2 linked regions of the Struthio camelus genome follow. The protein of the gene in region 1 purifies or fractionates together with the protein of each later gene. This does not show direct contact. Links are inferred from orthologs where the notes say so. Each region holds a gene or a part of one and is shown on either strand. Other genes may lie near its edges.

Region 1 (8,107 bases):
GTCAGACTGTGAAACAAATTGAGCTGTTAAAGTTATTTTAAATCTCTACTAGGGAAGCAGCAAGGTAGGGATAGTAGGGGATCGGATCATCGCTCTTCGCACCTGCACAATGGGGATCAAAACACCATAAGGGGTATACAGATGAGGGCACGGTGGCCCACAGAGAAGGTACACACAATTTGTCAAGGGCCATCACACAGAACAGACCTTAGACAATTTGTTCTCCTTTGTTACACGGTGCTAATGGGAGACGATAAGCAATGCACCTTTCGAAAACCCAGGCCTAACTTTAGATGAAGAAAGCTAGCAGAGAACATTTTAGCCATAATCTTCTCCTGCCATGATAAAGTTATTGAAAATGCAAAATCCCATCAAAATAAGGTTTGTTTTTGGCTAGCTGTCTTGTTCTGCCACATTCCTATCAGTGATGCTTGCTCCCAGTCTTGAGTGGTATCACACAGTAATTGACAGGATGAACTACAGCAGCCAATCGGTCATTCCTCAACTCAAAGAGTCACTAACTCTACAGGAGAGGAAAGTCGGGATTCACGGATAACAATGCTCTTGTATGTTTTTCTCGGCAGTAAGCTTGACTACTTGAAAACTTGGGCGTGTACCTCATAGAATCCAGACATTTCACCTGTCTGCCCATTCACTCCAGGAGCAGTGTCAGACCTCTGACTTATTTCTGACTCTTGAGAGGGGAGGGAATAAAACGCATCTAAATAAAGGAAAATCATTTTGCATTGCAAAACCAAAATAGCTCTGCAGGGTCTCCACTTACTGGCTCTTCCACTTCTCCTGTGGCATGCTGGGCTTCAGCTTGCAAATCAATTGGTGGAGCATCTTCAACAATTCTCTGCACAGACATCTGAATAAACTCATCAAAAGAATCCAGCTGCTGCCTGACTAGGCCTTTCTCATCAAAGTAGGAGCTAAAAAAAAAAAAAGTATATTATTCAAGAAGAGCTCTTAAGTTAACTCACGTACTCCACATATCGACAAGTTCAAGACTTGTTTATTATCAAACCTTCAGGAGTCCTGGAATACAATATCAAAATACAAGCATTGACTTTTCTTGAGGCACAAGTTTCAAACACAGCTGCTCAGGACTGTTAAAAACTTAAATTTTTTCTCTCAGTATTTGAAGGCATAGACACGACAAAGTGACAGACTTGCTGCCCCTTCTTGGTTAAGCCATGGCTGTATGCACAGTTTATCTCAAATTAGAAGTGAAACAGGATGACTTAAAACCTCAGTAAAGGTAGCTTCAGCTAATATCTTCTACAATGCACATGACAAATTACTTTGCTGCAGATCATTTCCCAAGCTGCAGTAAACTGAGAGCATACAATTGTAGGCCCCTCATTCAAGACAACAGTTCTCAGAACTTTTCTTAGCTCAGATCACCTCTGTTCCAGCCACACAGAAATTTCCAGCTTCACCCCTTCCAGCAGCTTCTGGATTCCGTCTAACCTTTGTTTCACCTACCAAAACACTCCAATTGTAGCTATCCAAGCCCGAATGCCAAGCTCGCAGCCTAGCTTCTAATGGGATGATCTAAACACGTTCACTGCATTAGCTCCTGCCAGCAAGCTCCTCTCCTCCCACGACCCTGCATTCCTGAAGCCAGCCAGGGAACCCTTACTTACTCCAGCTTTTGCTCCTTCACCTACAAGACCTCTGCAGAAAACTTGTAACAACTACCTCCCTATCAGTGACTTCAGGCTTCTCCAAGAACGGAAACATAGCCTTGCCTATTGTGCCGCTGCCACAGTGCACCCTGTCAGCATAGCCTGCCATTGCACAAAAGGAAGGAGGAAGGGAAGGAAAGGGCAACCTAAATCCTTACTGGGAGTGAGCTCTAGCCCCAGCTGAAGGATTTGTCCCAGTTCCCTCCCACCTGATTCAGAATAAATTTAACGCTCATCACCAGGCTGCCAGACAAGAGAAAGGACCTCCTTCTGCCTCCGAGGTTTCTCATCCCTACTCTCTACCCAGAGAGGCTACAGGTCTAGCGCTGCAGGTACGCCCTTCCGTTTGGGAACTGCTGCTCTAAGACACAAAGAGAAACACTTTTTGCCTAGTTCCACACAGCCTTCCACTCTCTCAGAGGCGCAAGAAGCTGCAGAGCCTGGGCCTTCATGTAGTACTAATAAAACACTAATATGGCAAACTGCTAAGTATTGATCTCCTAATGTCAGCACGCACTGCGAGAGTAACGGGCAAGATGATGTGCGTGATTTGGGATCAAAATAATTTCGTACTTCAGTTCAGATAGCCTAGCTGAACTGAGAGTAAGTAGGGCTTCTTAATCCCTAACAGTGTATATACAGGGCCAGCAGTCAAAACCTTGCTGTTTCTGCTTAAAGCCCTTCTGTTCAAAAAGTAACGAAACATATTATTTAGTAGAAACAATTCTTGCATTTCCATCACGTGTTGCTAGCAAACTAGATACTACCTTTAAGACCCAAAGCGTAAAGAACAGTGAATTTTAGAAAGTCACCTAATAACAATCCAGCATGCTTCTTGCCACAAGTCAGGAGTGATTTCATCATCATCTTCATCATATTGCATATCTGTCCAGGAAGCATAACGTGCAAGTTAGACTTCGATATCCACGTTACCTCTACTTGCCTACTAACGCGGGGCCGGCATACGACTGGCAGAGGGGCACCCCGGCAGCGCCCATGGCCGCAGGAGACTGTGGAAGCCCCTCACGCCGGCGCCGGTAGCTCCCCCGTCTGCACCGAGCCCCAAACGCGGACTCCGCGCGAGCCCAACGGCTCTCCCGCCCCCACCCCCTAGCGGGCAGTGCGCGACCCGAGCCCAACGGCTCTTCCCCCCCCCCGCCCCCAAGTAAGCCGTAGACGAGCCCAACGGTTCTCCTGCTCCCACCCTCCCTGGTAGGCCGTGGGCGAGCCCAACGGCTCTCCTGGCCCCTCCGCCGGGGCCGGCCGAAGAGGATAACGGTTCAGGCCGGGAGCGGCCGCCCGCCCTCACCTTCGTCCGCGTCGTACATGGCGGCGGCAGTAGGGAAGGCCGCAGGCGGCGGCGGCCGACACAGAGGCGAAGAGAGCGCGGGCCACCACTACCGAGCCGCCGACGGAGGGGGAGGCGCCTGCGCGCCTCGCGCACACACCTAGCAGGCGTCACCGCCGCCTCGCGCAGGGCCGAACCGTGGCCCGCTCCCTTCCCCCGCCCCGCCCCGCCCCGTCGGAAGCACCGCGGGGGAAGGCGCATGCGCGGTTGCTGCGCCCACGCCCTTCCTCTTCCCGCCGCACGGCGGGCGGGGCGGAGCCGCGTGGGAGCGCGCGGAGCCTGTGGCCGCCGGCGGGTGGCGGCGGCGGCGCTCGCCCGCGCCATGCAGCGCCTGGGCCGGGCCCTCACGGGCGGGCTGGCCCGGGCTCGCGCCTGGCGGCCGGTGCCGCGGCGGGGGGCGGCGGCGGCGAGCGGCGAGGAGGAGCAGTTCGTCTTCCCTGAGTACGAGCCGGAGCCGGTGCGGTGGGAGGCGGCGGCGCCCCACCGGGAGGCGGAGCCGGGCGGGGAGCGGCGGCGGCAGCGGAGGGCTCCGAGGGCGGCGGCGGCGGCGGGGCTGCCCGACCCGTCGGTGCCGCCGAGCGGCGTGAGCTGTTCGGGCTGCGGGGCCGAGCTGCAGTGCCGCGACGGCGCGGCGCCGGGCTTCCTGCCGGCGGAGAAGTACCGGAGCCTGGCGGGCGGAGCGGGCGGAGCGGCGGGGCTGCGCGCCGCCGTGTGCCAGCGCTGCTGGCTGCTGGCGCACCACGGCCGGGCGCTGCGGTTGGCGCTGCCCCCGGAGCGGCACCGCCTCGTGGTGAGCGCCGCGCTGCGCCGCCCGCCGCGCCACGGCCGCGGCCCGCTCCTCCTCTACCTCCTCGACGTGCTGGAGCTGCCCGACCCGCTGCTGCCCGAGCTGCCGGCGCTGCTGAGCCCGGCCACCCCCGCCGCCGGCGTCCTGGTGGTGGGTAACAAGGTGGACCTGCTGCCCCGCGACGGCCCCGGGCACCTGGGGCGGCTGCGGCGGCGGGTGGCGGCGGCCTGCGCCCAGGCGGGCCTGCGCGGGGCCCCGCTGGTGGGCGTCTGCCTGGTGAGCGCCAAGACGGGCTTCGGCCTCGAAGGGCTGGTCAGCCGGCTGCAGCGCTCCTGGCGGGGCGCCGGCGACGTCTACCTGCTGGGCGCCACCAACTCGGGCAAGTCGACGCTCTTCAATGCCCTGCTGCGCTCCGACTTCTGCAAGTCCCGCGCCCCCGACGTCGTCGACCGTGCCACCGTCTCACCCTGGCCAGGTCAGGGCTGCTGTGACCGAGGTCCTGCTGGGCACGTGGGGGACAGCCAGCCCCGGCGGGAGGCTCGCTCGCTGGGCCCAGCCTCGGCCTGTGGCCCCGCTGCCTGGCGCCCCGGGGCAGTGCGAGCCCCCTGTGAAGCGTTTGCCCATCTCATGGCGCCGCCGCGTGTCACAGCGCGGAGGGGGCTGACTCGCACACGCTCTGGGAAGCAGGCGATCTGGTCCTCCCTGATCTGCATGCCTTGCCATCTCCCTGTGAATCGGGGATGCCCTCCGGGCTAAAGGGCAGCTGGGAGGGGGGCTGGTGAGCACCCGTAAAGTAGTCATATGCAAAGCCAAGCTGCCTTGCGAGCAGGACGTAGCTAGGGTGCGTTGAACCGATCTAAACGCCGCGTTAGAGAGGCGCGAGGTGCCGACCGCTCTGCTGAGAGAAGGCTCAGTGTTTGGTCCCGCTGTCAAAGGGTCAGCGGTGTCAGGGCATGGTGGGGTGAGCCAACGTGCGCTTCCTGCCTGTCACGGTAGGACGAGGTTTATAACTGCTGTATCGGTATTGGCCCCGATGCCGCTGACCTCATTCTGGTGCCTTAACGTCCCCAAGAGTTGGCCTCAGTGCTGTGAGGCTTTGATGCACAGAAGTCCGACTTGCAGCACAGCAGCTCTCCTGAGGACCATAGGACTCCTGAGGACCTGTGACTATACCAGCGTTCGCCTGGTTTTAGCGAGCGGGAGTATACGTGGCTGTAACTGTGAGTTGCTGGTTGCGTTCAGCGCTCCACCTTGAGGCCCTTTTACCAAAACATTGGTGAGAGCGGGACAGGCGCTTCATTGCAGCCACCCTGCCAAAGGAGGCTGGCGGGTTATAGCCGTTTGCTTGATGCTTAATTCCCCTTCCAACTTCGCGTCACTGGTTTGCAGCCAAAAGTGGGAGGAGCAGTTTTTTTGTTCTTGTTAAAGAGCTTAAATAGACCCAAATGTAGTGTGTGTGTGTTTGTTTTCCAGGAACCACGCTCAATCTGCTAAAATTTCCAATTATTAACCCTACGTGTGACAGGATATTTCGAAGGCAGGAGCGACTGAAAGCAGAGGCAGAAAAAACAGAAGACCAGCTAAGTAATGAAGAAAAAAAGTACCTTAATCATCTTAAAAAGGAGGGTTACTTAGTGGGTGAGTATTGTCAGACAAAAGGTATCTATCGCCTTTCTGTCCTGATGAAAATAGCGTGCTACAGGATGGACTGTTAACTCCTTAATTTGCTATAAAGTCCAGCTATTGATGAGTAATTTCTTCCACCCTGAAGCAACTCATCTTCACTTACTTAAGGGAAGAACATGCTAGCTACAGTGACAATAAAAAACTTGCAAGTAGGCATTAAAGTTATTCCGACCAGTTTTTATCCCAAGTAATGCTTGCAAGAGCTCTAGCTCCTTCCAAAGTAGTGCGGTTAGCATTTCTTTTGCATACTTATTTTTCAGCTGTCACAGTAGTCACATGGCAGAAGTTTCCCCTGTGCAGCGCACCTCCCATCAGTTCAGATGTCTTAATGAATTACAAGGATGCTGCGATAGAGCACACCTCTTTCATTCCTGAAGAAGACAAGGAAGTTGAATTTTAATGAGGACGTTTGGGTAGTAGGCCACAGTGGTTGTACATCAGTTTAGCATGTAGCCTGAAGAGGGGGTTGCCAAGAGATGGCTTTGACTTCAGGAGCTTGAAATGACTGTGAAATCTGCAGTCAGTCATGAAGTTGTGGTTTGGATCATCCTTCATTGCGCTATATCCAGAGCAAAAGATAAAACACAGTCGTTTGTGTTTAAATGGGGGTATGACCTGTGTCTGGACACCTATGTCATAAGACATAAGAGGAGTAATTCACTGTCTCTAAAATGGAAAAAGGACCTTGTTGCACTGTATCGTAGTTTGTGCGCATCTGAATAATTCTGTGTTTGAAAGCTGAAGGCCCTAAAAAAAAAAAGGCAGTCAACAACAAACAACAACAAAAAGGCCGTCTCCTTTACAGTTAAATAACGGGGCATTTGTGATCTGGTCACTGCGAAGGATTTGGGCTCGAGGAGGGTTAGGCAATAAATATAGAAGGAGTTCATTAGCCCTGCTGGCTCTTGAGCAGCCACGTTTCTGGCTGCATATCATCTTTGTCACTGTTAGGTTACCTGTGGTGCACCTCTTTTCAGGTAGGTAAGGAAGGGAAGGGACAGATATCTGACTGAAGGAAATGCAAGTTAATAAATTAATTACCCGGAAACTTTTTGGTTTAATCCAGGAAGAGTGGGAAGAACGTTCCAACAGCAGAAGCCTAGCCCTGTGGTTGACTTTGACCCCGACATGCTCTCGTACAGCGTAGACGAAGATCCCGGCTATTCCCCTCAGAAGCACAAGATAAAGGAAGAGTTCACGTACAACGAAGTGAAGGATGCTCGCTGGTGTTTTGACACACCAGGGATTGTAAAGGAAAACTGCGTAGGTACTCTGTGGTGCTGTGTCACAGGAGGTCAAGAGATTAGGAGGACTGTCCTGCCTTAGTTGTGCACATGGGAAAGTATTTCTGCTCTGCTCCTAGGCTTAGGAGTCTCTCAGTTTGGGTGAACGTGTTAAAAGGTAGGGGGTTTCTTGTTTTTCCTTGTTTGTTTGTTTTACCTGGGAAGGGTGCGTTATGTAACACTATTGCATTCCTGAATGACGTACACTGTGATCTTCGCAAAGGAACAATACAGGCAAACTTGTAAACAGTTAAATGAAGAGAAGTGAATAACAGTGTTATAAGCAAGTTTATACCAGCATTGCCCAAGGAAGCTTGCACTGTCTTAGCTCTGCCAGCCTACTGAACAAGGTGAAGTTACCACATACGGAGCGTTAGGAGAATAGCTAGTATTTTGTGACTGGACCAAATCTTTGAAAAAGACCTGAAGTATCTTCCTGAAGCCAAGCGGATTTGCAGTCTTCCCATTAATAGCCCCAGTATGTCAGGCGTGACTCTCTGTTTCACTAGAGCAGCAGCTCTGAAGCCGGTGCTGCTGTATTGCACGTGTCTGAAAAAGCTATGTTTTGATTGTTTTGGTGTCTGTGCAGAGCTGAGGGTCATCTTTTTGGGAAGATAAAAAGTACAAGGAGGTAGAAAAGTTCCAAAGGGAATGAAGTGCAAGAAACATACTGAGGCTGCATAGCTCAAGTACCAATGCTGCTTTTACAAGCACTACTACCAGTTTTCTGATGGACGTGTGTGTCCTATCGCAACCCACTTTGCCGTGGCCCTTCGCTCTCTGCTGGCTGCTAAGCATCTGGTATAAAAGACATCAGGGGCTTGGAGCCTTGGTTTGGTAACTAGAGGTTGGGCATGTTATTTTGGAGTTGAATAAGTGGGAAATGAGTGGGTTTTCCTGCATCCAGGAAATTCATGATGCCATTTCTGATTCTGATTATCCTTGCTGTGTCTTCGGAGAGATTAGGTGGAATATATGCCAAGTTTCAGGTCAAATTTTGTTTCTGCAGTCAGTGTTCACTTTGGCTAGAGGACAGGCAGGATGATCTGTGCGCCAAATTTTGGCGGGGTAGACTTCCAGTTGGGGGTGGGGGTAGTTTTTCGTATTTTGGAAGAAGAGGGAGGGAAAGCAGCTGTTAACATATTTGTCTGTGTTCTTTAGAGGTTCGTTTTTAGCTGCTTCCTCATGCCTTCTTACAAAGCCAAACTTCTGGAAAGTGTAGCAAAGGGTTACTGGTAACTCTCAAATTTGGGTTTTAAGCATTGCCAAACACATCAGAAAACCTGCAGCTGGCAGAGCAAAGCCTCCT
Region 2 (7,120 bases), on another chromosome or scaffold:
GGCTGCTGCCTACTGCGCTGCTCTCCCAAGCGAAGGGTGAGCTCACGCGCCGGGCAGGCCCGCGGGGCGCCAGGCTCGCGCAGAGGCCAGGGCCCTGGACAGAAACCCTTGTGCTCACCAGCCTGGCCGCGCTCATGGTTTTAGCTGTTTTTTTTTTTTTTAAATGTTTCCCCAGGTTTTTTTTTTTTCCTTTTAGTCTTGTTTTGTCAGGTCCGTTAAGAGTTTTCCTCGCTGTCACACGGTTGTTTTTAATTTCCGTTCGGGGAAAGAGGAAGGCCAGCGGGGCACAGCCCCGTAAAGCAATATTTTTCTCATCCCATGCCAAAAAAAAGCAGCCGAGGAGTCCAGCGCTCCCCCATCACCTCCCCCCCCCCCCAAAGGGCTACCCAACTTGTGCAGGTGCAGTGAAACTTTAGGCACTACTCGACTCTTTCTCTACGGCAATATGTCTCCTGTGGCCTCTGCAGAGCCATTGGATTTTTTTTTTTTTTTAATTAGCCATTTTAAAATGAGGAATAAAAGGAGATTTAATGAGCCATCGCAGGAGCCACGCGTGTGCTTTGTTTAGCATCCAGGGATAGAGGGGCCCCTCCTGCGGCTCACCTTTCCCTCCCACCGCGCAAGGGGGAGAGAAAGCTGGGCCGCAGCAGAGCAGCGAGGGGCCCCCAAGCCCAGCAGCGCTAAGGTGTAGTGCCTCCGGGCCGGGCCGCCCTCACCGTAGGGATTACCCCGATTTGAGGACGGGCGCCCGTGGGCAAACTCCGCTCCCGCCACAGGTCAGCGTTTTGTCAAGGGGCCGAGTCGGGCTTCTCGGGTGTCCGACGTAAGCGGCTTCCAGGGCACAGTCGCGCAGGAGCCTGAGCCGCTTCGGGGACCGAAGGGACGCCCTACGGCCGCTCCTCGGCCGCTGTCGCAGCTGGCCGGCGCTTCCAGCGCTGCGACACCTGCCCTGGGGCTCGCTGCCGGCCTCGGCACCTCGCCGGGGTCGCCGCTGTCCTCAGCGAAGCGCCGCTCAGCGGAGTGGAGGGGTTCTGTATTCAGCTGAGCAGCCGCAGCCAAGGTAGGACCCCTCTTTCCCGGCAGTCAGATCCTGCCCCGGGCTCCCCCCTCCCCCTTCTGCCTCAGTTTCCCCCCCACGCCTGCTCCCTAAGGCAGCACCGCTCACTCACGCCCCACGTGTCCGCTCCGCGCCCTGGCACAAGGGCCGACGGTGGCAGCAGCCACAGTCACCAGCCCCTCCTCGGAGCAGAGCCTTTTTAATTAAAAAGTGAATAAAAAAAGAGAGCCCGATGCACCGCGTTGTTTTGGTATAAAAGGCCACAGGCAGCAACTCCCCACAGCGGTTCCAGCGGAGTCCGTGACTCCTGCCCTCCGCAGGAAGCGCACGTGGGTGCTTTGGGGACGTCCTCTCCGCCGGGGGGACAGGCCAGCCCGAGTGCCCCCACCGAGCCCGGCAGGAGGGACGAGTCCGTCTCGGGTGAGCTGAGGCCGTTCCCGTCGGCTGGGAGATCCACGGAGCGGACGCCTCACCGCAGGCTGCTGCTGCTGCTGGCCTGGGAGCTGCCCACGCCCGGGTGCTCCGGGCTGTGCCGGTTCTGGCAAGGAGGGACAGAGGCACACGCGTCCCCGTGAGCCCCGAGCGGAGCCCGCCCGCCACCGGCGCCCTCCCAGCGTCACTCAGCCCCCTCCAACCTCCTGCTGATCAGCGGCCCGGGGAAGGGCTGCTCGGCAGCTCCCGGGGCCAGGCAGCTCCTGGGGGGGCGCGCGGGGAGGGCCTGGGCCCACAGGGGCCGTGGGTGAGAGCCTGGCTCTCCCCACCTACCTTCTTTTTCTTCTTTTCCTTCTTCTTCCTCTTCCGCTCAGGATCCTCCTCTTTTTTCTTCTTTTTCTTCTTGTGGTCAGAGTCCGAGGGGGTTTCTGAAGGAAGGGAGAGAGCTGGGTCAGTGGGGTGCCCAGCGGGCTTCTCGTGGTGAGGGGTGCTGCGGGAGCCAGGCGCGTCCCTTACCCGGGGGGACGGGATCCTGGGTGCGGCTCTGCTTGTGCTTGTGCTTGTTCTTCTTCTTGGGCGGCTGGATGTGCATGAGCCGGCACTGCTCCGGCAGCTGCCCAGAGAGAGAGACAGAGAGGGCGAGGGGGCCCGTCAGCCCGCGCCAGGCCTCCCTCCCTCCCTCCCTCCGCGCTGCCTCTGGGCCTGGCAGCGCCGGGGCTCACCGGGCCGGCGTGGAGGCGGAAGCCGGTGAGCATGGTGCCGGTGAGGGGGGTGAAGGAGCTGCCGCAGATGGGGGGCTTCTCGATGAGGGAGCGCAGGCTGCTGTTGTCGTGGGAGCCGGGCAGGTCGATCATGCCCGGCAGGTCGGGGAGGAAGTTGCTGAGTTTCTCCTTCACCTTCTTGCCGCAGAACTTGTTGTAGGCGTGCTCCAGGTTGTAGTGCGTGATGAGGTTGGTGCTGCCCGTCAGCTCCGTGGTGCCTGCCCGCCCCCACCGCCGTCCATGTTGGCGGGAGCCAGGGCAAAGCACTATGGGATACCTCTGCGAGGCCCCAGTCCCGCGCCCTTCCCCTATTGGGTGGTGCGCCGCTCAGCCCCGCCCCTCCTCTTGCATCCCATTAGCCGGCCGGGCTGTCAGTTTGCGCCTCGTTCTCCCTCTCCCCCCCCCGCACCTTATTGGCCCACCGCGCTGTCCGTTACCCCCCTCCGGAAGCCCGGTGCCGCTTCCGCGCGGCCAATTGGCGGAGCGCCCCGCCTATCGCGGGCGGCGCCCGCCTCCCGCGCGTTGATTGGCGGAGCGCCCCGCGAGCCCCGCCCCGTACCTGGCAGCTCCCGCAGCAGGTAGAAGGGGCCGGCGGCGGCGGCCTTGCGGGCCGCGTCCTCGCCGGGCGGCGGCGCGGCGGCGGCGGGGGGCGGCCCGGCCCCGGGCCCCGCCGCCTTGGCCGGTCCGAAGCCCAGCGCGGCGGCGGCGGCGGCGGGCGGCGGCTCGGCCCCGCCGAAGAGCGCCGAGAAATTCTCCATGCTCCCAGCGTGCCCCGCGCCGGGGGCGGGCTGGCCGCACCGCCCCACCCTATGGGGGGAGAGCCGCGCCCCAGGCACTCGGCTTAGATTGGTTGAACGCTGCCTACGGCCCGCCCCTTCCCCCCCGTTGCTACGTGCGGCGCGGACCGAGTATCCTGATTGGCCGCCTCCCCGCCTTCTGCGGCTGGATGTCGGAAGAGCTTGGCAGCGGGGCCGCGCCATTGGCCAGCGGCGGAGGAGCCCCGCCCACCGCTGACGAGCAGGAGGCCGGCCCAATAAGAAGAGCCCCGCTCCGGCCGTACGGTGGCCGGCAGAGCTCGGCGGCGAGCGGAGGGAAGATGGCGGTGGTGGCGCCGCTGCTGGCGCTGCTGTACTCGATGCCGGCGCTGTGCCGCTGGCTGGCGCGGCCCTACTACCCGCTCTCGGCGCTGCTCGCCACCGCCTTCCTGCTCGTCCGCAAGCTGCCGCCGCTCTGCCGCGGCCTGCCCTCGCAGCGGGAGGACGGCAACCCCTGCGACTTTGACTGGGTGAGGCGGGCTGCCGCCCGCCCGAGCCCCGTGTCCCGCCTGTCCCCGACGTCCTTCCTGCCCCCGGGCCCGCTCTCCTCGCGGCTCCCCGGCGCTGCCGAGGGAGGGCCGGGCCTGGCGCCCGCCGGCAGTGCTCTGCCAGCCCCGGCCCGCCGCTTGGGGGCTCCCTGAGCGCCTCGGGGACGGCGGCCCCCTTTCCTGGCTGTGCTCGCAGGCCGCCTCTCGGTGCTCGGGAGGGAGAGGAGCTGAGGGATGGCACGGGGGAGCAGCGGTGGCGGGGGGCACAGCCGCCAGGTCCCTGTGGCAGGCTGGGCTGGGAGCGCCCTGGCTCTGGGCGGGCGGTAGGGCCGCAGGGTCTGGTGGGTGCCTCCTGCTCACCTCCTCTCTCCTGTGCCCAGCGGGAGGTGGAGATCCTCATGTTCCTCAGTGCCATCGTGATGATGAAGAACCGCCGCTCCAGTGAGTCGGGGCCTGCGTTGTTGGGTGGGCGCGGGGGGCTGCGGGGCAGGGCCTGCTTGTGGACCATCCCCTGCAGAGCTGGATGGAGTAGGAGCCAGAGGAAGGGGGGGAGTTCGGGGAGTGGCGGCTGAGAGGGGATGGGGGAATCTGGCCCTGGCTCTCACCCCTCTCCCCCAGTCACTGTGGAGCAGCACATCGGCAACATCTTCATGTTCAGCAAAGTGGCCAACGCCATCCTCTTCTTCCGTCTCGACATCCGCATGGGCCTGCTCTACCTCACGCTGTGCATAGGTGAGACCCGCGGGGATGGGGGCACCAGGGGCCGCAGCGGTGCCCCCCGGCTCCGCTTGCCCCGAGCACAGGGTGTCCATAGCGCTCCTCCGTACAGGCCCAGAGGGGTAGTCCGGGGAAAGAGGAACCTCATCCTGAACCGAGCCTGGCTCTCTTGGCCGCTTTCGGGGCGGGGGGCAACGGGTGTGTGGGTGAGGGTAAGGGCCTCTTCCCTGCGGGAACAGGCCCGTCCAGGCAGCGGGTTCACGGGCGCTGTCGTTACAGTGTTCCTGATGACCTGCAAGCCGCCCCTCTACATGGGTCCCGAGTACATCAAGTATTTCAACGACAAGACCATAGACGTGAGTATGTCCTCTGCGGGCCGGGCCGGGGCACGGCGGCGCCGGAGGGGGCGCTGCGCCCCGCCGCGCCCCGCCAAGCCGTGACCCCGTGCGGCAGGAGGAGCTGGAACGAGACAAGCGGGTGACCTGGATCATCGAGTTCTTCGCCAACTGGTCCAGCGAGTGCCAGTCCTTCGCCCCCATCTTCGCCGACCTCTCTCTCAAGTGAGCGGCGCCCACCAGGGTTTGGGGCGGGGGGGAGACACAGTCATGCTCGGCGCTCTCAGCTGCGTCTCTCCGCCAGGTACAACTGCTCGGGGCTGCACTTCGGGAAGGTGGATGTGGGCCGGTACACGGACGTCAGCACCAGGTCTGCGGGGACGGGGGAAGGGGACGGCCCCCATCAGCAGAGCCCCTATCCGGGCAGAAGGGGGAACGTCTGGGGGGCCCCCGGGCCCCTGCAGCTCCCGCAGGCTCACCGTCCGCCTCCCGCAGGTATAAAGTCAGCACCTCGCCCCTCACCAAGCAGCTGCCCACCCTCATCCTCTTCCAGGGCGGGACGGAGACCATGCGTCGCCCACAGATCGATAAGAAAGGTCGAGCCGTGTCCTGGACCTTCTCAGAGGTGGGTGGAGACCTTCCAGCCCTTGGCGTCCTCCAGCCTCTGGGGCACGACGCGGTTCAGCACCCGGCCCCGGAGGTGGCTGGTGGCTCCCAGCACTGCGGGAAGGGCACTCGGGGCTGTGGGGGGGGGGGGGGGGGGAGGAAGGTGTGGGAGATGCTGGCGGGTGCTGACACCCGGCCCATCTGGGCTGCAGGAGAACGTGATCAGGGAGTTCAACCTCAACGAGCTCTACCACAAAGCCAAGAAGCAGTCGAAGCCGCGGGATGAGGGGCCCGAGGAGGCGCCCGAGGCGCAGGCGGCCGCCGGCCTGGCCAACGGGGAGACCAAGAAGGACAAGTAGAAGCTGACAACGCTGCTGTTGCCCCCCCCCCTCACCCCCCAAGTTGCAGGAGGGACCTGCACCCCGCGCCACCCAGGGGGTCACCGCGGCCGCCCGGTGCAGTGGGGTGTGGGGCCCGGTACGAGGCGCCCCGGCCCCGTGCCCGCGGGGGCTGGGAGGCGGCGGGGCAGAGCCGCCCCGCACCGGTGAACGCTCATCCTCATGGCTGTCAATAAACGCCCGCAGCGCCCCGCCGTGTCCCTGTGCTGCGCGGCGGCGGCGGCGGCGGCGGCGGCGGCGGCGGCGGCGGCGGGAGGGGACCGCTCCCCGGTGTGCGTGGGGGGGGGGGGAAATCACGTGGGCGCTGAGGGGCTTGGCCACGCCGCGGCTGCCGCGTCGTGATTGGCTGCGCCTTCCGCGCTGGCTACATAACCGCGGGAAGGGGGCGGGGGGAGCGGGCGGAACCACTGTGCCCCATGGGGGGGGGTTGCTCCAACCCCCCCCCAAATTCCCCCCCTCGCCCCGGGGTGCCCGCGGGCGGTGAAGCGGGCGAGCGGTGACGGAGTGTCCGGCCGCCGTGCGGCGGGGGGGGCCGCGGCGGCCCGCTCGCACCGGCGGGCTGCGCCGCGCCGCTCTGCCCCGTGTTCCCCCCGCCGGCGGCGGTGCCGGTGGCTCAGCCCGCAGCGGTTCCCCGCGCCCCGCCACGTGCCCGGCCCGGCTCGGCGCGGCGCAGAGCAGCGCGGCAGGTAGCGGCGGCTCCGCGGCTCTCCCCTCCCCGCCCCCGGGGGGTCCCCGGCCTTCCTCGGGTGGGGGGGAACCTCGCCCCCCCCCCCCCCCCCAGCCGCGGCCCGCTCCCGGGGCTCCTCCTCCCTTGCTATCCGCCCGGCGGGGCCCCCCCGGCGCTCAGCCCGCCCCGGCTCTCCCCAGCATGGCTCCCCGGCGCAAGAAGCGCGGCGCCCCGGAGGCGACCGAGGTCCGGGCAGAGGAGGAAGCGGATGCGCCGCAGAAGCGGGTCCGGGGCGGCCCCGGGGGGAGCGGCCCCCGCGTGGTCATCGAGCACTGGTGAGCGCTGCGCCCAGGCCGCCGGGGCTGCTGGGCGGGGGGGGGGTGCGGGGCGAGGGGAGGGGGGCTGCTGGATGGGGGCTGCTGGGCGAGGGGAGGGGGGCTGGATGGGGGCTGCTGCGCGAGGGGGGTGTGCTGGATGGGGGCTGCTGCGCGAGGGGAGGGGGGCTGCTGGGTGGGGGGGGTGTGCTGGATGGGGGCTGCTGGGCGAGGGGAGGGGGGCTGCTGGGTGGGGGGGCTGCTGGGCGAGGGGGGTGTGCTGGATGGGGGCTGCTGGGCGAGGGGGGTGTGCTGGATGGGGGCTGCTGCGCGAGGGGAGGGGGGCTGCTGGGTGGGGGGGGTGTGCTGGATGGGGGCTGCTGGGTGAGGGGGGTGTGCTGGATGGGGGCTGCTGGGTGGAGGGGGTGTGCTGGATGGGGGCTGCTGGGCGAGGGGAGGGGGGCTGCTGGGTGGAGGGGGTGTGCTGGATGGGGGCTGCTGGGCGAGGGGGGTGTGCTGGATGGGGGCTG

The links. Proteins that work in one complex are often made in the same cells at the same time.
Region 2: the proteins of POLR2B (region 1) and MED19 purify together in Homo sapiens (affinity purification with mass spectrometry; 4 studies listed by BioGRID and IntAct, with this or other methods). This does not show direct contact. The link is inferred for Struthio camelus from reciprocal best matches to the Homo sapiens genes POLR2B and MED19.

The regions. Positions count from the first base shown.
Region 1 is NC_090945.1:3,512,754-3,520,860, reverse strand, and holds the start of POLR2B (DNA-directed RNA polymerase II subunit RPB2), read right to left. Parts: upstream 3,228-8,107; 5' UTR 3,023-3,227; coding exon 3,004-3,022; intron 2,580-3,003; coding exon 2,507-2,579; intron 936-2,506; coding exon 785-935; intron 1-784. Other genes in the region: NOA1 (nitric oxide-associated protein 1), read left to right, coding at 3,365-4,304, 5,303-5,467, 6,582-6,778. UniProt on the Homo sapiens protein: Catalytic core component of RNA polymerase II (Pol II), a DNA-dependent RNA polymerase which synthesizes mRNA precursors and many functional non-coding RNAs using the four ribonucleoside triphosphates as substrates.
Region 2 is NC_090946.1:7,469,287-7,476,406, reverse strand, and holds MED19 (mediator of RNA polymerase II transcription subunit 19), read right to left. Parts: upstream 3,028-7,120; 5' UTR 3,009-3,027; coding exon 2,810-3,008; intron 2,469-2,809; coding exon 2,212-2,468; intron 2,103-2,211; coding exon 2,006-2,102; intron 1,918-2,005; coding exon 1,823-1,917; intron 1,596-1,822; coding exon 1,527-1,595; 3' UTR 510-1,526; downstream 1-509. Other genes in the region: TMX2 (thioredoxin-related transmembrane protein 2), read left to right, coding at 3,197-3,535, 3,934-3,994, 4,172-4,285, 4,550-4,626, 4,724-4,830, 4,910-4,975, 5,101-5,230, 5,424-5,570. UniProt on the Homo sapiens protein: Component of the Mediator complex, a coactivator involved in the regulated transcription of nearly all RNA polymerase II-dependent genes.